3 linked regions of the Danio rerio genome follow. The protein of the gene in region 2 purifies or fractionates together with the protein of the main gene of each other region. This does not show direct contact. Links are inferred from orthologs where the notes say so. Each region holds a gene or a part of one and is shown on either strand. Other genes may lie near its edges. The genes, in order: skila, trim33 and ssrp1b.

Region 1 (6,853 bases), on a different chromosome or scaffold from region 2:
ACTTCAGAATCTCACCGCACTCTAGGTCATCCGGATACTTCTCACATACTGATTTTCGAATTCTATGAATTCAAACATACTACTCGGCTCGCATACTGTTTTTATGGAAGTATGTGATTTTGTACGGAGCCATTGTGTTCAAAGCGAAAAAAAAAAACGTTGTTGCTTTACTTAGACATTTCAAAAGATTTTTTAGAGCAGTAATCACAATACTGTGAAACCAAACCATGATATTTTTATCAAAGGTTACCATACCGTCTGAATTTTATACCCACCCATCCCTATTGTAGATAAAATACTAGAAGTAACAAAGTGGTATGTGTGCAGAAAAACACTGTTCGTGATCATTTAGTACAATCTCAGACTGGAAATCAGAAAAAAGTTATTTAAATCCATTTCCTTTAAACTTAACATTGCCACTAGATAGACTAGATTAAATACAAAAATATATATTATTATCCATTATATTCTTATCATCTCATTATGCATATATTAATTAATGATTTTGGATGGAAAGGGTAAGTGTAAAACTGCTGTTGCATATGTTTTAATGCTTTGAATATTTAAATACAGATTTTTGAATTGGAATTTATAAAAAAAAAAAAAATACAGGTACTAGAAAACCTTGTACATCCAAGGTAACAAAATTCCACCATTTTAATGTGTGCTGTCATCATCCACCCCCTAAAGCTGACCCTGTACTGACCTGAGAGGAAGATAATGTACTTCCCCTTCAGCCAGACCAACTGGAATTCCCTCCCTCCGGCCATACGTCCCAACCAAGCAAGCGTCACCTGCTTGTGCCACCCCATAAAATTGGGTCAGCACTAGTTTATCAAAACAACTGCAGCCTTGCCCAGACAATAGCAAACAGTCTCCTCTGCGGACTATCACACATTACCATCTGGTCACACACGTGCAAATCCACTTGTGAACATGAAGCAAAACTTGACCTTAGTGAACCAGAACACATGCAAGACAAAAAGACACTTACTTTGTCCAGAGGCCTCTTTAGCTGGTAGTGAAACTTCTCCTTCATCTCGTCCAGCAGCTGCTTGAGCTGTGGCTCCTCCTGTGTGCCCTCATGCTTGCGCCCCAGCTGAAGGTAGCAGGGCCACTTGGCTGAATCGAAGCCCCAGTGGCAGGTCCTCTTGTCAGGGGACTTGTGTGAGTGCATTACAAAGTTCTGTGGGGAAAACAGCAGCTGGCACTCCATGCACTGAATGCAAGGGGCATCCGGCTGGACGTAGAAATGGGGCACAAACAGGCCTTGGCACTTGCCAAGACACTGGTGCTCCACCTGGAAACTGATGTCACTCTCCTTCAGCAGGCCTTGGCCTGGCAGTTTGCTGTTGGGATCTGCTGAGATGGTGGCACCTGGGCGAAGCAGGGCATTGCAGAGCCGTTGGGCATCAGTTAGGGTAATCAGGCCACAGGAAGGTGCATTAAAAGGCAAAATGCCCAGCACCTTGAGAATGTGCAGCTGCTCCGCATGACACCGCGAACAGTAAACGTAAAGTTCATCACAAACAGCATTGATCTGCTGCAGAGAGAAGTCTCGGAGCACTGAATTGAGTACCTGGGGCAGACAAAGACGCTTCTCACCACCTACAACAAAGCAGGAGATGGACTCTCCTTCAAGGAGAGAATGGGTAAGCTCTGTGGAGCTGTCACAGGGCACTAAGAGTGGGCCTCCTCCGAGGACTGGGGGAGACGGTAGGGGAGCCATGCCAGCAGGAGAGGCGCACTCCTGTGCCGATTTTGCTGAGAAAGCAGCAGGACCTCCCAGGGAGCTCTGGCTGCTCAGCGTGAACTGTGCCAGCGTGTGCTTGAGGCCGGCGCTCAGATCTAAAGCCTTGGATGCTCCGACAATGTGGAATTCTCTTTCCTCCATGTCCATTTCTGAGCTGGTGTGCTCCTCACGCTCCTTCTTGACTTTTAGGGGTTTGGGGATGCTCTCCAGGCTGCGACGTTTCAAATGCATCTCTGCCATTACCCGTTTTTTAATGGGAGCATCTTCCAGTCGCTCCCTGTACAGCCGCTTCATGTTGCCTTTAAATGAGGTCAGGTCTTTAAAAGGGGTTTTCAGACCTGTCTGAGGGCTGGCCATATCCATACACAGATAACTGGTCTTCCTTGGGTGGAAAATAATCGTCAGACACGACACCTTTGGGTTGGTCCTACTTTGCTCGCTGTGTTAAAGGTTGCAAATCCTTTTACGTCTAGCTACATGCATGATGCTGACAGAATTAAATGTTCAACGAGCTTCCTGTGAATGAAAAGGTAAAAAAGGCTTGTATTAAAATACAATTCTTACTAAATCAAACACAAATCAGAATGTGAAGCCACGTGAATGCGGATGAATGGAAAATGCTGCCAGAGCAATTAAAAGGCATCCAGAAGCGTTTTAGCGTTGGGCACAGTGCTAAACTAGACGACAGAAACATTTTCACCTCATCAGGATAATCTAATTTGAAAGCAATCGATCTAAGGCCAGTTTCTCGCTGGTTTAGTGCGCTGTTTTTCTCTACTGACAACATGCCGAATCCGTCAAGGCGGTAAATGAGTCAGTGCACTAATAACGTCGGTTTAACACAGATAACCAACAGCATCAGTAACTAACAGCGAGCAGCCATTTAGTCCTGTCCAACCACAGCAGGCTTGAAACAAAATGTATTAACGACACATAAACACCACTTCTGCCACGCAAGATTAAATGTATATATTATATTGTAAATAAAAAAGGATGTTTTCATCGTACAAGCAAAAGCCTGAACTGGCGGAATTTCCGAGCACGAATATGAAGGCAAAATGAAAGCTCAGCCTCAAATTCAGCGCATGCCAGTGGGGTTTCGGCAAAATCCATCAGAAAAACGCGTTTCATTTCAGAATCACAACATGCGTTTCTGTTCTACAAACGGAATGCATTCATTTTGGCGAAAATTAAAGGGCCACCAAAGCATAATAATCTCAAGTTCCTCGAAATAAACGCTTGGTTTTGCTTTAACGTTACCAGATTTGCGGGTCAACTCAAACAGACTGACCCTGACCGCAGACGTCGTTTCATTTCCTCATAAAATAACCAGTTTCCAGAAACACTGGCAAAACGCGGTCTATTTTTAACCCTGAATGACAGCGTCTCTCTTTTTACCCCCGCAAGGACACCGCGGCTCTGTCCCCGCCTCTACCCGTCTCTCCCCTCTCCTTCTCCGGGCACAGCTGCGCTGAGCACCCGCGGTGTGACAATCACCATCCCCGCAATCGGGAAAACCCTTCACATGAAAAGAAAACCTGATCACGGCTATTACACATTAAATATCCCAACACGACATCGAAAGCTTCTATTTTAAATCCATTCCCATGTCTTCATTCGGCAGTGAAACGTTTGCCAACCATTCAGCCAGTCTGACACCTGACCACCCCCTCAAAATACGTTAAACAGCGATATCCCCAAAACTGTTTTTGAAAAACAGAAATACAGACATTTGTATTAAACACAATATAGATCATATCTAAGATTTAAATCAATCACACAAATACTCCCAGCTCGATCACCAATATGACCAGGTTAAACACATAATATACACGTATATTATACCCTTTTAAATGGCACATCAAAACACACATCTCAAAAATTCACACGCCACCTATAAGCAAATTATTATTGCTCATTGACAGCACCAAAACCGGTTTAACATCTGAAAAACTGGCTCGTTCGCACAGACAGCTTTAGCAGTGCGGCTAGAATATTTAGACCCTTTAGCACGCGCTAACCGAGCTAACGCTACAAATCCCCGTTCAGAGACAGAAATAAACGTCACTTAACTATTACAAACCTTCAAAACGGTTTTAAAAAACACAGCGACAAACTGCTGATCCACCAGAGTAATGGACGCAGTGTATAGGCGAATCAGATGTGGGTTTTAAAGGGACTTGCCTCAGGATGAACGATCTGCTCTGCTGTCTCTCTCGGTCTCTCCTCTAGTCTGTCTGAGCGTCAACAACACGCGCACACACTCAAAGCCTTCAGACAGATCGCGCGTCACACACAGCGAGAGCGCGCACTGGCGGAGCGGATGATGTTGCGCGGGCGTGTCTATGTATGTGTGTCTGTCTGTCTGTCTGTCCTGTCTGTCTGCAGCGCGCCGCCAGATTCTCATGAACTTTGCAAGAATTTACAGGTTACAGTAAATGTAATGTAATGCATGTAGTACATGTTCAGTTGTCATCTGTGGTCTACTAGTAACTTGCGCTTGCACACATGACTAACCAAGGGACATTTCTTTAGAAATAAGGGAGTTTTGCTGTCTACTTAGGGACAGTCATAGTGGAGCATGCTGAATTTGAATCACTTTATGGTAAGAGAAAGGAGTAAATGGAAATTAAATAGTAACTTTAGCCACATCCCCATTCACGCTATGACTTAGCATGATTTTTGAGGAATAATGAATGGCAGCATGAGCTGAGGTCTGTCAATGTTTCACAGATAATGACTCATCTGAAATGGGCTGTTTAAATGAAATACATATCATGCAAAACATCACAGTTTTTGTACTTGGTAAAGACATAAAACATTATTCTGTTTTACAATTATAGTGTTGAGGGCGTAACACATTACAAGTAACGAGTTACGTAATAATATTACTTTTCTAAGTAATGAGTAATGCATATTTTTAAAAATTAAGTAATACTATTTGAGTGACTTTTTAGCTTAATTAATTAGCTTATAAAAACAAATGGCTGAAATAAAATAAATGTCAGATTGAATCCCACACTCAATGATAGAATGCAGGAAAAGACAGAAACCAACATGGCAGAGCCTTATATTTCTGCAATGGGAGTTTTCTTATTATTCTGAACGAATCACAGAAAAGGAAAACAGGATTATAGTCTCAATGGATAGTGATTTTACTTTATTAATAGCACAAAAAAGACAAAAGTAGTAGTCACATTGCATTAGACTTTCATTATTACCTGTATAGGCATATATCCTTGAGGGTCAGGAAGTTCTCAAAAGATAAGATTATCCTACATTATTATTTTATGATGTGTTTTTAAAAGGTAAATGAAGGTGTAGGTTATTTAGTGCGATGTTTATTGCAGAGCTGCTTTATTTTAAAAAAGAAGGAAAAAATCCTGCAAGATCTGAAACAGATCAAGTCTCAGCCAGGTCAGAAAAGGTAATGCAAAAGTAACTCAAAAGTAGCGTGACACATTACTTATTATAAAAAGTAACTTAGTAATGTAACTTACTTTTTTGAGGAGTAACTAAAAATTGTAATGCATTACTTTGAAAAATAACTTTCCCCAATAACAATTTACAGTTGAAGTCAGTATTCTAGCCCTCCTTTGAACTTTGTTTTCTTTTTAAAATATTTTACAAATTATGTTTAACAGATGTCTGGTAATATTTTTTTTTGTTCTGGAGAAAGTCTTACCTGTTATATTTAGGCTATTAATTCAGGAGGGCAAATAATTCTTACTTCAACTGTAGTTCAAAAGTTTTAGGAAATGGGTTTCAGAAAATCATGCTTTTTTCAGTAAATATTCAGCTTTGAATCACTGGCATAAATAGCATTTTAAACCTATTCTTAATTAAAATGATTTTCATTTATATTATTTCTAAACCAAAAAAAATGTATAAAATATGACAAAAATTGCGAAAAATGACTTACAGATTTTATTGTATTTATTTACAAAAAAATACCCATTTAGCTTTGTTTATTTTATTTCTATTTCAGTTTTAGCTTTAATTTCTGTTTACTTTCAATGTGTTTTGTTAAGTTGAAAAATTATTAGTTTTTTTTTTTACATTTTTAAGATATGTTTTTCTATATTTCCATTTTACTTGTAATTTTTATAATACATTGTGTATTGTGCTGTCATTGTTTCTTAAACTATTTATTCATTCATTCATTTTCTTTTTGGTTTAGTCCCTTTATTAATCTGGGGTTGCCAGAGCGGAATGAATCGCCAATTTATCCAGCACATGTTTTAAGCAGCGGATGGCCTTCCAGCTGTAACCCATCTCTGGGAAACATGCATACAGTCATTCACACTCATACACTAGGCCTATTTAGCCTGCCCAATTCACATGTACCGCATGTCTTTGGACTGTGGGGGAAACCCTAACGCAGGGAGAACATGCAAACTCCACACAGAAACGCCAACTGACTCAGCCGAGGCTCAAACCAGCAACCTTTTTGCTGTCAGGTGACAGTGCTACCTACTGCGCCACTGTGTCGCCTTAAACTATTTTTTATTGTTTTATTGTTATTTTTGGATTTGAAAATTTGTGAAAATTAAATCACATTAAACAACTAAACGGAACTTCATCTCAGAAAACTGGGCTGTCATTTTCAATTTACTAGAACTTCTATGTTAAGCAACTTTAATAGAATCTACATTGTAAAAGCGCTATAAAAATAAAGATTGTAGTTTTAATAATTTATCGTGTACTGTACTGTGCTGTCATTGTTTTTGTATACTATGTTAGTTTGAATTTTTTTATTTCAAATTTGGTTTTAATTCAGTTTTAGTTTTACACCTCCATTTGGGAAATTTAATCCAAGTTTTAATTATTTCACCTATAAGGATACATTTTCAGACTCATTAAGTTTTGATAAAATATTTTATTTCATTTTGCATTTTATTTCTTGTTCACATTTTTAATTATTGTTGTCCTTTTTTATTTTAATCGAAAGTTGTAGTAAGTACAAATTCCCCATGTCCACTTCATTCATTCATTTATTTATTTTCCTTGGGCTTAGTCCCTTTATTCATCAGGGGTCGCCACAGTGGAATGAACCGCTAACTTATCAAGCATATGTTTCACGCATGAACTTCCAGCTGC
Region 2 (6,753 bases):
GGGACAGTTCACCCAAAAATGAAAATTCTGCCATTTACTCAACATCCAATTATTTTTTCTGTTGAACAAAAAGGAAGATACATAAAAAAATGTTGAAATTGCTTTTCATCCATTGACTTCTATTGTATGTTTTTGTTCCTACCATGGATGTCAATGACCATTTCCCCCCAAAATTCTTCAGAATATCTTGTTTTGTGTTCAACAGAAAAAATAAATCCATTATTGACCACTTGAGTGCGAGTAAACGATGGGAACCTTTTCATTTTTGGGGCGAATTATCCCTTGGATGAAAGCAAACTACAAGCAATCTTCAAGATCTTTCATTCTGCTACATGTTTCGATTCTCATGTCCTCATCTTGTACAGTGGAAAACCCATTGTTAGTAAAATAATCGTTGGTGTGAACAGGCTTATCTACAGACTGTGGTTCGAGTAAAAAGTGTTCACCTTTGTTCACTCATTCTCTGTGTATTATGGTGTTTGTTTGTCAGCGTGACTCACCCTTTGTTCTTCTGGACTCATTGCCATCTCATTTTTTTCTTTGTTTCTGGGTGGATCGTCATCACAGTTGTACTCGATCTCTGGATTTGCGAGATTTCTGCAGAACGTGCACATCCAATCCCCACTGCAATTAACCAACAAACAGAAATTAAAATTCAGAATTCCATATCTTAATATTTGGTCTTAAAAATAATTGAATTGAATTAAACAGGAACATTTTGTACCCCTAATGACATTAAGCATTAAGCAGAATCTTACGCCACTGAACCTCTATGATTAAATTATTTAAATGACCTTGGTCAAGACTGAATAAACAAATTAGCCCCAGGTAAATTCAGTGCTTTCTTCCTTGGTTGTAGCGCTTCTATTGCATGTAGAGTAATTTTATTCTTCTTACTCTTTTTGTTTTCCTGAGTTGAGTAAAAATTATGTTTTTCCAAGCTCCATACCATATTATTAATACACCACAGGTTAAAGCTAGGTAGCTACGTTTCCATCAGCCTATTTTTGTGCGCATATCTAAAATGGTTTGGTCAGGGATGCAAGGAGCTTTCCTAACTAAATGAATAAAATAAGCTGTTGTCCACAAAGGCAACCCAGGGAGCTGAAACATAATTGGCTAAACTGGCATTGGGCAGGTTTAAGACATCAAAACCAAAAAGACAGACATTCCAGCTCGTAAAGCACATTTTCAAAGCAGAATATCTGACTTCTTGTTTGTCTGAAAAACAATGCGGATGTTCATATGGCACGTTTCTTAAATATCTGCAAACATATCATGGTATTTTTATGCTTTAAAAGAGTCAAAAGCGTTCATACAGCACCTTTAAGTGTCTGCTTAAAACATTCAGATACAATAATATTGACTGTGCTGCACCATATGTATGAATAAAGCCGCATCCTTTACCTGGGAGAGGATTTGAGTGTTGGGATATGACAGGTTATGTGGAAGACTTTGGGACAGTGATCGCAGCACAGCAGTTCTCCTCCGTTCTGACAAACAGCACACCAGTCTTCATTCGGGTCGTCTTCCTTTCCCGCAGTGGTCTGACTGTTAGCATTAGTAGTGCCGCCTCGCTGGCCTCCATTCGACCCGCTGGTCCCATTGGTTAGAGTTGCTCTGGAGTTCGGGTTCGTGCAGGAGGAAAGGTTATCGCTCTGTGGTTCAGATTTAACGTTTTCACCAAGTGTCCTTAAAATGTCCTGGACTGAGCCGGTGGACACGGAGCCAAGGATGGGGAGAGGGGGAGTTAAACTTCCTTCTGGACTGCTCATCTGTGTGAGGAGGAAGAACAACAAAGGAAAGACATTGTGAAGAGAGAACAGGTCTAACCTCTAGGGAGCCTGAGGGCCAAAATAAAAAATGTAAAGGATTTTTTTTTTTTTCTACGGGAAGCAATTTGAAAACACATTTGTACACATTTCTAGTAAATATAGGGGAAAACATCCTAGATTTTTAATCAGTTTCCATTTCTTTTAATTGTTCTAAAGGAGTCCTCCTGATAATATGTCCTCATATTGATGATGAATGTGTCGCAGTACGAGTCTGTGAAGTAGGGGTTGCACAGACAGGTCAACTGGTCGACTTTCATGCTCTGCTAATGCACAAGAAGGTGGTTCACTAACTGAAAGTGCCCTCAAATTATTTAAGTTCCTTTTTAATGTTATTTTTCTTATTGGAGCATGAAAGATTCACGTGAGCTTTGAGTAAACTTCAAACAGATGCTAGTTATGTCGCTCCATGCAAATACTCGAGCAAATCCTAGCCAATCATGTTTAAGTAACGTGAAAAAGTAATGTGATTGGCTGTTGTCCTCTGGGAAGTGCAGATGCTGACATGTTTTGTGGATGAACCGTGAAGCGCACAGAAACTGTGAAGTCCGCAGCCACCAGAAGTGTGACAAACTTCATAAAATGTGTAACTATCATCCCAGGTGAACGCAATGAAAATGTGCAGAAGAGACGTCTGATAACCAAGATGAGCCAGTAACCCTGAAAATTGCACGACTTGAGCAGGATTTTGAGCAGCTTTCTAGCGCGCACCATCATAGCAGTAAAATATGCATCTGTGCAAGTCTCTCACAGTGTAATTAAGCATATAGCCTATGTCTTTATGTATGTTATGAAATAACTTCACATGAAGTGTGCTGACGATGTTTGCATTACTTCTGCAATAAAATCTGTTATTTTTACTAGAACCTGCAGCAATCAATGTGTTGACTGCTTTTATTTAGCAGTAAAATTAGCCCGTGTTAATGTCGCATTATTTACTAAATGAAAGTGGTGACAGTGCATTTGTTTGCATTAAAATTAGTCATCGTTATTGTGGCATTGTTTTTGCAGTATGTCAAACAGCATGAGCTGTCAAACAGCATGTGTATATATTTCATGCAAATAAATCACAAATAATGGCATGTTGCAAAATATTTGCATGGTGTTTTTTAATGATGACGTCACCAACAACTAGTCAATGTCAACTCGAGAATCAACTTAAGTCCCTACATTTTATATAGCGCTTTCTGGAAACTCAAGCGCTTATTTAAGAGCTTAGAGCACTCAAATATCTAAGTAATAATTTATACATGAGCACTTAAATAAATAAAAGTACTGTTAATTTTTAGGATATCTACTACCAAGTGTGCCCAAAACAGTGACAAAATTCACATTTAGAAAATATAAAACTGATATAAACATGTAAAGCTTTTAGTTTGTCACTTTTGACTAAATGGCTCAATGTTTTTTTTCACGTCACCTCATACTTCAGTTTCTCATCAAATCTTGATCAAATGCCAAATAGACGCGCGATGAGTGCACGCGAGCTCTCTGAAGAGAGTGAAACCGTTTGCACATTTAGACGGTCCCGTGAAACAAAAACATGACATGGCAGATTTTGTTCTTCTTGGCTTTGTGGCTGCTCGTCAAGATGACGACAAGGTTTGTTTGAGCTTGGGTCTACCATGGCTTGTTTTTATATGTATATATTCTTGTTGCACGCATTAGTGACGTATTTCTGTAAATCAATAGTGTCTAGTTGCGCATCTAGCTCTGCCTTTTGAAACCCTTTTGTTTTGATAGGTACTCTTTGCAAAGGGTACCCAAAAAGTGGTACGGTACCATTCGCTTTTAGGCACCTTTTTACTGGAAACGGCCATAAAAGCATACTGAACAGAACTGTACTGTACCACTCAGTGGAAACGGGTCATAATATGGTTTAGGTCTTCAAAGAAATTCACAAATCTTTTCAGTTTGTAAGAAGTTAAAGGAAAACTAGAAATATGTGGGACTACGTTCTACGAAAACTGTAAGCTAAAGGTGATTACCATACAAGCGCTCCGTCTGCCATCTTTAGTTCGTTCAGTTTTGACGTTTGCTCCAGTATAGCTACATTCTTCCTCAACTCCTGGCTCCTGTTTGACCTTCACCTGGTCCACTGTGGTTCCAGAACTAAACACACACACACAAACATAAATAACACATTATCACTTTGTATGCAATGTCTGAACATTTGGAGACCATTTGGATGCATTCATATATACAGTGCTCAGCATAACTGAGTACACCCCATTTTGAAAATAAATATTTATCCATTTGTCAGTGAATATAGGCAATGTATTTTGGTGCATTTAAAGAAAACAGATTTATTAATTAATATTTTAATATTTTATTATTTATTAATATTTAAGTCACCAAATATATTTAGAAATGGAAAGATATTACATTTAAATTCATGCAAAATATTGAACAAAAAACTACAACATTAACAAAATTGTATATATTTTTGTTTCTCTTGATTTTTGCTATTTTAGAAAATGTTATTTAATATTTTTCTACAACATATACATTTGTCCTACTAATTTTTTTTAACCATTATAGTAAGTTTTTTTTTTTTTTTAAATAAGCTCCAGAATGGGCTTCAGTACTGACTAAACTCATGTATATGCACAAATATAATATTGTAAAGCTTCCTATAGAAAATATTTATTTAAATAAGAGATTTTTGTTTGTGTACTCATATGTGCTGAATATATTATAAAACAAATACAAATTTTTTTTTTTTAATTTATGTACTTCATTTATTCATTCATTTTTTTTTCGGCTTAGTCCCTTTATTAATCTGGGGTCGTCACAGCGGAATGAACCGCCAACTTATCCAGCATATGTTTTACGCAATTGCTTGATTTTTTAAATTCAAAATACAGTCTCTGCTAAAATTCATCCCAGTATATGAAGATTTTTTTTTTAAAAAGTAAAGGATCATGAACTTATGAGTAACACAATTCAAAAAGTTTAAACTAGTATGTCTAGTTTAGGGTTTGCTTTCACACGGCAAAGTTTCTAAACGGACCAAAACAGCTAAAACAAGTCATATTGGTCAGAGCTTCATGGTTTATTTTGCAGAGTCCCGCTCAGCTGTCATGCGTCCTTATTTTAATTTAAGACGATGAGCAATAGGACAATATAAGCAAACATCTGCGATTTAATTTTGAATGATGACACCCACATCAGAGGTAAGACTTTCATATACATAGCAGTTGGCTTATACATTAGAGATAAACAACAGATAAACCAAGACTGCTGTTCGGTCAATTTTCCTAACAGATAAACAGCTCTCATTAATAGATCAGCATGCTTTCACTTTCGTATTAGGCATGAAATGCACGTTTACCGGTAGGAATGACATCCCGCTCTACTTCTAATTCTCTCTTCAAGTAGCCATATATGCCTATTACATGTCCATAATCCACTGTGATATAGCCTGGTTCAATCATACTTCTTTCTCACTACAATCAATCAGCTCCCAAGTTTGTTTCAATCAAGCCGAGACCACCTCATTCAGGCGATCTCAGTATCAGAGCCCGATTGCTGCATACACGTATGCCAAACAAACCACGCTAACTGGGGAAACAAAGCAGGTTCCGAAACAAAAGTCTAGCTGTGAAAACACCCTAAAACATTAAAAGACTGTAGTGAACACTGACCTGCCCCGACTGCCTGTACTTGACGTGCTGGATGGACGAGCTGGAGTGTGAGAATTAGATAAACCTGAAGAAAAAGCGACAGAGAGTCTGTTAAAAAACATCAAATCTACAGAAAATTCACAAGTGAGCAGGCATTGTTCTAGATTGGCTCAAAGCACAACTTAAATGATATAAAAAAGGTTTATTTAACTTTTAGTAATGCAATTCAATAAATGTAATAATTCTGTTAACTTCAAAAAGCCTAAAAAATGTAGTACAATTTTCTAAAACATCAAGATGGTTGGCTCAAAATACGCCAATGAATAATCCTGACATATATACTCAATTCTCAATGTCAATTAGGTCTCATAAGAAATCGCATTTAACAATCTTAAGGGACTTGTTGAGTCAAATATTTTGCTAATCTTAATGACCATTCAGTTTTGGATAGCAATTCAAAGCTCACAAAACACACAATTTTAGAAAGTGAATTTACATTTTGAAGTTTCTCATGTATTAATTATATTTCTATTTATTTAATTTCCACCTAAAATAGTTTTAGTTAACAATAACAACAGCAGTGCACAACAATTAAGATCATTTCAAATAATCATTGATCAAAACAAAGCAATAATAGTGAACTGCATGAATGTGCTAGCGAGCTTTGGAGGCAGTTTGGTAGCACACCATTTGGGACGGAGCACAAATTCACGAGGGCAGCAGAATGCAGTCTTAGCCTCAGGGTTTGTGCATATGGTTGGACAGCAGATTATGCCATAAGGAACCTGGAGCGCTGAGCAGGAATTAATGGCGCCAGCAGAGCTGACACAGCCTTAGCCCTTGGGTTTTGGTGCATATGGTTGGTTGAATGGGAGTTTTAGCCATATAGTACAAGAGGGCAGGGTAGTATGGTATATATAAGCATATCATACATACAAAAACACGCATCTGCATGAATATTTCATGACATTATGTAAATGCAAGCTAACCTATACAGACATTCAAATGCAAAACAATTCATGTCAATGATTTGCTGCAGAAATTTCCACATTTTGTTCTGAAGTACCTGACGATCCCGGAGAATGTGTGGAAGGTCCTGGCGATGGGTTTGTGGGTCCGACAGTAGGATATGCATTAGCAGAAATATACCGACTTAGGATATTATCCAGTGTGCTAGAGCCGGCATCTTCAAGCTGGAGATAAAATAAATAAATAAATTAATTAATAAATAAATAAAAAGTCTCTTCATTTTATTTCTTTTTTATTTAGTCATATTTTGTTTTCTCCTCCAACCT
Region 3 (6,753 bases), on a different chromosome or scaffold from region 2:
CATAATTCTATAAAGCATGTGTTGTTAATAAAAGAAATGCATCTTATAACTTTTTGGTGCCTTTTTCCCCTTTATTTACAAAAATTGTGGATGGTTTGCTTATGATATATCCAAGAATTGCTGATATCATGATATATATCAGGGGTGGCCAACCCTGTTCCTGGAGAGCCACCTTCCTGCAGATTTCAGTTGCAACCCAGATCAAACACACCTGAACCAATTAATTAGGACCTGAACACCACGTGATAATTACAGGCAGGTGTGTTTGATATAGTCTTTTGTTAACTTATCGTGTTTATTGTGAAATTCGATGCGTATGTTTTAACAAACACATGTAGACTGCAGAATTGTATCAAATCACTCAGTTCAACTGTTCATGCAGACGTTGATGTTAATTCCTGGCAGTGTTTTCTTTGAATTTAGCTTAGATCCAACCCGATAAATATCTATCACTCTCTTTTGTCAAGTTTAATCATAATTTAGTTTTTATCCACAACAGAAATGAAGAACAAAATAGGTTAACATTACTCGGATTGGGTTTTATATTTGTCCGTGTTCGCATACATTATGCTCTGTCTGTGTGTCTGTAAAGGGAGCACAAGCTTATTAATATTCATGACATGAACCATATATGGTCAATCATGGACCTTCTGATTCTATGGGTACTTTATAGAGTATTAAATGACCTTATAAAACAGTTTCTGGAGATTTTTTTAAACCCAATATGTAGATATCAGAGAATAATTTAACTAATTAAACTAATGCAGTATATGGCATAGCCGTGAGCTAGCTCTCTGCAACTTTCACATGGTCGCCCACTGAAGCTAAGCAGGGCTGCAACCTGTGCTCTGTGTGGGTCCCAATGCCCCAGTATAGTGACAGGGATAGTGAGCGGTGTCTTTCGGATGAGACATTAAACCAAGGTCCTGACTCTCTGTGGTCATTAAAAATCCCAGGATGTCCGTTAAAAAAGTGTAGGGGTTTAACCCCAGCATCCTGGCCAAATTTGCCTACTGGCCTCTGTCCATAATGGCCTCCTAAATCATCCCCATACCATAAATGGCTTCATCACTCTGTCTCCTTTCCACCAATCAGCTGGTATGTGGTGTGTGCTCTGGCGCGATATGGCTGCCATCCAGGTGAATGCTGCACACTGGTGGTGGATGAGGAGATTCCCCCCAATGTGTAAAGGGTTTTGAGTCTCCAGAAAAGCGCTATATAAATGTAAAGAATTATTATTATTATTATTATTATTATTATTATTATTATTATTATTATATTAATATTTTAAGGCCCATTTACACAAAACATTTCTTTGTGTCTAAAAATGTGCTCAAAAGTAGTAGAAGTAGTTTTTTTTTTAAATTCCGCCATGTTGCTGTCAAATAAAACAGCCGTCTCCCAACTTGCTAATGTAAACAAGACACTTGCCCCGCCTCCAACACCTTCTGATTGGCCCACAATCAGAAGACTTTGAAGTAAATTTATGTAAAACTTTAAATTCTTAAAAAACTTGACATGGCGTCTTAAAGTCTATGTACACATCAAGCACATATTACATAGAAAGACAATGGAAAAGTTGCACACTGGAATATAAAAAACGTCTTCTGTGTGAACGGTCCCTTAAAAGTTTTCCGGACACATTGTTTCTGGCACATTAGTGTGATGTGATTAACTGATGCCTTGCTGTATTGATTCAGTCATAATGTGCACCCAACAGAAAATACAATAATGTCCATAAAGCAGCTTAGTTTTTGCCCCCTCAACGTGCAGATGGGGGTCAGGTCACTAAAAGAGAGGGGCTCTTTTACACCAGTGTTAAGACAAAAACAGAGAGAATGACCACAAAGAGCAGGCATTGATTTTCAATGGCAGATGGGGGTTAAGTGCTCAATGACATAATAGCTGGAAGTGCCTGGAAAAGGGTATGAACAATGCTCTTTTCATTACTGCTGTGATCTAGTTCCCTTCAAAGTGATGTTCCCGACAGCCAGACAAGAGTATCATCGGGGGTTCTGGGTACCTCTCGATGCTGCTGAAGGTGTACTGATTGCCTTGCTTGGTCTCGATCTCGAAATCGAAGGAGCGGGTCGTGGTGGTCCCGCGGGCGAAGTTCACACAGGCGATCTCCTCAAAACGCAGGTGCACTGGGGGCTTGTGCACGTAGATGAAACCTCTTTCCAGGGGATACAGCAGCCCTGAACTGGCCTTATAGGAGCAGGTTATACACTGAGCTCCTGAGTGACTACAGAGAACAGAGAGAGACAGGAAATTAGACACTTTTATTACAATAAATTACCACATTATCAAGTAATTGTTCAGTATGAATGCAAACACTATATATATATATATATATATATATATATATATATATATATATATATATATATATATATATATATATATATATATATATATGTGTGTATATATGTATATATATATATATATATATATATATATATATATATATATATATATATATATATATATATATATGTATATATGTATGTATATATATGTCAGTGTTGAATGCAAATGTCATTGAGTGTTTTCAGTGTTTTACTGTATCGTTTTCTACAGTGTAAATATGCGTTTTACCCTTGGAAATTTCCAGGCACTGTGATCTTCCTGTTGACCAAGGCTTTCATGACCCTGCTGACCATCTCATAGAGAGAGCCGGACATGTTTTTATTAAGTTTTCCTTCAAAACGCCTCTCCACCTCGTCCCTGCACAACATAAGAGAACGATATTGCTGGATGGCAACCACTGCACACAACACAACACGACACGATAGAAACATTTAAATACCAGCCATTCTTTCAAATACCAGCCACTGCACTCACAATAAAATGGTAAGAGTTATAAACTAATTAATACACTTTAAACCTCTTTAACATTATTAACAGGCTACTGAGTGACGGATGTTGTTTTTTTGCACAGTTCACACACATTTCAGAGTCATAGTCCTAACTTTTATTTTCAAACCGATTGCTAGTTATTTAATTTTTTACATCTGAGATTAACTATTTGCTACTGCCTTAAGTAGTATGTCACGTAAAATGGTGTTCAAACTCACATTAACACTGAATAAAGCACATAGTCTGATTGTTGTTTATTCATATATTTTCTTTTCAGCTTAGTTCCTTTATTAATCCGGGGTTGCCACAGCGGAATGAACCGCCAACTTATCCAACATATTTTTACGCAGCAGGTGCCCTTTCAGCCACAACCCATCTCTGGGAAACATCCACACACACTCATTCACTATGGACAATTTAGCTCACCCAATTCGCCTGTACCGCATGTCTTTTGGACTGTGGGGGAAATCGGAGCTCCCGGAGGAAACCCACGCGAATGCAGGGAGAACATGCAAACTCCACACAGAAATGCCAACTGACCCAGCCGAGGCTCGAACCAGGGACCTTCTTGCTGTGAGGCACTACCTAGTGCGCCACAGCTTCGCCATTGTTGTTTATATAAAACATTTCTATAAAGCATTGTGGATGGTTAGGACAAAAGGTCAGACTTTAGTTTGATGGTGCTTTTGTTCAATGTAAGTTACATTGTATCTACATGCTAACTAATTTTCATTAGATTATAAGACCATTAGGTTGGGGTTAGGGTTGGTGATAGAGATAGTGTGAGTTGGCATGTAATTGCAAATTTTCTTATAGTATGGTAAATGTCTGTTGAAGGAGCATTTCAACAGATATTAAGCAGACAGTCTACTTATACTCAAACTGACCATCAAAATAAAAAGCTATCGAACAAAAATGTGTAATAAAGGACACCATTATGCAAAAAAATTGAGTTGTGAATCTAACCAGCTTCTAATGGTAAAAAGTAATAATATTTTTATAATCACACTTGATAAAAACAATCTAATGAGACACTTTTATTGACATTCTCCCTTTGTAAATGTCTTCAGAGGGAAAAAGCCCCGCCTATTGGTGAAGAACTCTCCCTCATTGGCATAGGGGCTTAGTCTTTATTTTGAATATGCCACTATGCTGACTCACAGCCATTTGTAGCTCCGCCCTATTTTGAAAAGATCTCATTTGAATTTAAAGGGTCACGAAACACCAAAACACATTTTTTGAGCTGTTGACAGTCGTATATGTGTCCCACACTGCTAAAAACACTATTAGGACACCTATATTTCACTAAAAAGTGTAAATTGGTTGTTTTTGCGTTATTTCAAGCAAATTCGTACTTCCGGTTTGAAACGAATTTTTGAAGCCGCGTCACGGTCATGACATAATAGCGTGTATTGCAGCGTGCAGACTGGGCGTCTGTGCCAGAGTGTGTCTTATTACGTCTTACAGTGTGATGCATTAATGCATGAGTAAAGCTTGGTTCAAACCAATCAGCGCGCTCTATTGTGCAACTTCATTAATATTCATTACTGTCACATGAAGAGATGCCACGTTGTGTTGGCAAAACAAGCGTGAAGTGTTGCTTTTATTGTTTGCTGCAGTTAAGTTTCGTTTTCATTTTCTCTCTGTGAGAGCTCATCTGGAGTCACGTGAGGATTAACAGTGTACGCGACGCTCGACAACAATAGCTTACATGTCTAAGGAGGATTATTGTTTACCTGAGAGCTGTTCTCATCTGCAAACGCAGAGATCCGGATTTGCTTGTAGTATTCTCTTAATAAAGACGCGGCTCTAGTTGCTGGTGATTGTCCTCTATAGATTTGGTAAGTGAGCGACCAGTGCTCTTTGTTTATTCAGTTTATTCGTATCGAACTAAGTTAACTATTGCACCGAGTGTAAACACGTTAGCACCACAACCAAACTTTAACCTCGTGTAGGGTTTTTACCGCATTTAGTGACCGGAATAACACGCGCAGCTTTCTGACGCTACCTGCCGTGTGCATCTAAGTTTCCGGGAAATGCGGAGGTTTTTTTTCTCTCATTCGGAGTGCGGTATCAAACATTGCATGGAAAATACACGCTTAGAGCAGTTCCTCGAATCAAATATCTCATTTGTCGGGAGGGGCATGAATAAATCCCTGAATTAAAGAGCCAAACTGCATTTAAAGTCCACCATTTAATAATTTGGCAAATAATTCCACTACAGATGTCCATGTAGGTTAAACACCATCACTTACTACTGTGTGTGTGTGTGTGTGTATTATGACTCTGAAGCTCGCGCGTGCCCAAATAGACACTCCCACACCATCCCACTTTTCTTCCTCCGACACTCCCCCCTAAACAGAGCTGGACACGCCCACTTTTCTGACTTTTTCCAAAGTAGAGGTGTGAAAACACCCTGCTGAAACGAGGGGGTTTCATGGCCCTTTAAAGTGTCACCAAAAAGACACAATTTGGATCAAAAAGGTAAAAAAAAAAAGTCAAAAAGAGACAGTTTCAAAGAGTTATGAAACATTATTTGTGAGGTCTCTTGAGCTAAAACTTCACATACACGCTCTAGGGACATCAGAGACTTATTTTTACATCTTGTATAAAGAGGCATAATAGATGCCTTTTATCTTTATTTACATGTCGCAGCATCACGCCGCATCGCTTGTAATTAGGACACATTGCAATTCCTTTAACCTCAGGTTGATTTAAGCTAATATTCTTCGTAAATAATAATACATTTTTGGTCATCTGCTTTTAATACTGTTAGTAAAATGTAAATAGCGGACTTCTGACATCTTTCACCAGTGTCTCTCAATCTCTTTCAGGTTTTACTCACTCATTCATGTTGAGTGTGAGGCTGATGGTTTCTTCCTTGGAGAACAGAAGAATGAGAAAGTGATAGCGTGTTTGACCCTGTTTAATAGGGGGGTCCAGACTGATCTGAAACAGAAGATGGCCTTATAACCATGACATGGCATGAATATGAAGGAGATTATATCTATTCTTATGATCACTGTCATTGAGTGCCATTTGCTCAGCTATGTCGTGTTAAAAGCAATGATGACATTGTTTGAGATGTCTTTGCTAAAGTACAAATGAAATCAAAACTAACCAGATGATTTTAATAGCTCATTTTGCCATTTTGAAAAGTTCATCTGTGCATGTCATTAAGAAAAAATAAAGTTTGCTCTTGTAATCTTTAATTGAAATATGAAAGCACACTTCCTGTTTGTTTTCAGTTAAATTTTCACATTAAGTCTATCTGAGATAATGGGCGTGGCTAACATATTTAACCACACCCCTCCAACTGTCAGTTTTGACAACAGAAATGGTGAGGAGGAGGAGTCTGTTAGGTTGTAATAACAATCCTAAAATTTTCCTGATGTTTGTGAATGAAATGCCTACTTTACTACATCCAATCAGCTCGCAGTAGAAAAAACAAGCCACACCCACTGTTTTCTTATTTAATATTCTCGAAGAACAACGTCACAATACAAAAAAAAACATGGTCGCAGCTTCAGGTTCATGCAGACTTTAAGGCCAGTTGACATAAATATATTCAAATTTTTATGTCATCAAACTTGACTATTATTAAGACAACATAACCAGTCATAAATCCGTCATAAACATGATTGTCATGAGGCAATGAATTGACACCAACAAGTTGTGACACATTTGACTTAGTCAAGTTGTCATAACAAAGACATATCAAATAATGTCATCTTTGAATTAAAAATGACATAAAGGAGCCAATGACACTTCACAACTATTGTGATAAACGTAAATAATATGCATAAAATCACTTTTATATTTACGACACGTGTCATGTCACGATTATAACCGTACGCTCACACCGAAAGTGGCGAGAGCGTCAAAGTAGCTAGA

What was found.
Region 1: the proteins of trim33 (region 2) and skila purify together in Homo sapiens (affinity purification with western blotting; 4 studies listed by BioGRID and IntAct, with this or other methods). This does not show direct contact. The link is inferred for Danio rerio from reciprocal best matches to the Homo sapiens genes TRIM33 and SKIL.
Region 3: the proteins of trim33 (region 2) and ssrp1b purify together in Homo sapiens (affinity purification with mass spectrometry; 3 studies listed by BioGRID and IntAct, with this or other methods). This does not show direct contact. The link is inferred for Danio rerio from reciprocal best matches to the Homo sapiens genes TRIM33 and SSRP1.

What each region holds. Positions count from the first base shown.
Region 1 is NC_133177.1:40,323,360-40,330,212, forward strand, and holds the start of skila (ski-like protein), read right to left. Parts: upstream 3,993-6,853; 5' UTR 3,938-3,992; intron 2,270-3,937; 5' UTR 2,117-2,269; coding exon 995-2,116; intron 1-994. UniProt on the Homo sapiens protein: May have regulatory role in cell division or differentiation in response to extracellular signals.
Region 2 is NC_133183.1:12,537,078-12,543,830, forward strand, and holds part of trim33 (E3 ubiquitin-protein ligase TRIM33), read right to left. Parts: intron 6,652-6,753; coding exon 6,525-6,651; intron 5,544-6,524; coding exon 5,480-5,543; intron 3,945-5,479; coding exon 3,821-3,944; intron 1,776-3,820; coding exon 1,408-1,775; intron 625-1,407; coding exon 501-624; intron 1-500. UniProt on the Homo sapiens protein: Acts as an E3 ubiquitin-protein ligase. Promotes SMAD4 ubiquitination, nuclear exclusion and degradation via the ubiquitin proteasome pathway. According to PubMed:16751102, does not promote a decrease in the level of endogenous SMAD4.
Region 3 is NC_133176.1:47,979,233-47,985,985, reverse strand, and holds part of ssrp1b (FACT complex subunit SSRP1), read right to left. Parts: intron 5,809-6,753; coding exon 5,705-5,808; intron 2,728-5,704; coding exon 2,599-2,727; intron 2,246-2,598; coding exon 2,024-2,245; intron 1-2,023. UniProt on the Homo sapiens protein: Component of the FACT complex, a general chromatin factor that acts to reorganize nucleosomes. The FACT complex is involved in multiple processes that require DNA as a template such as mRNA elongation, DNA replication and DNA repair.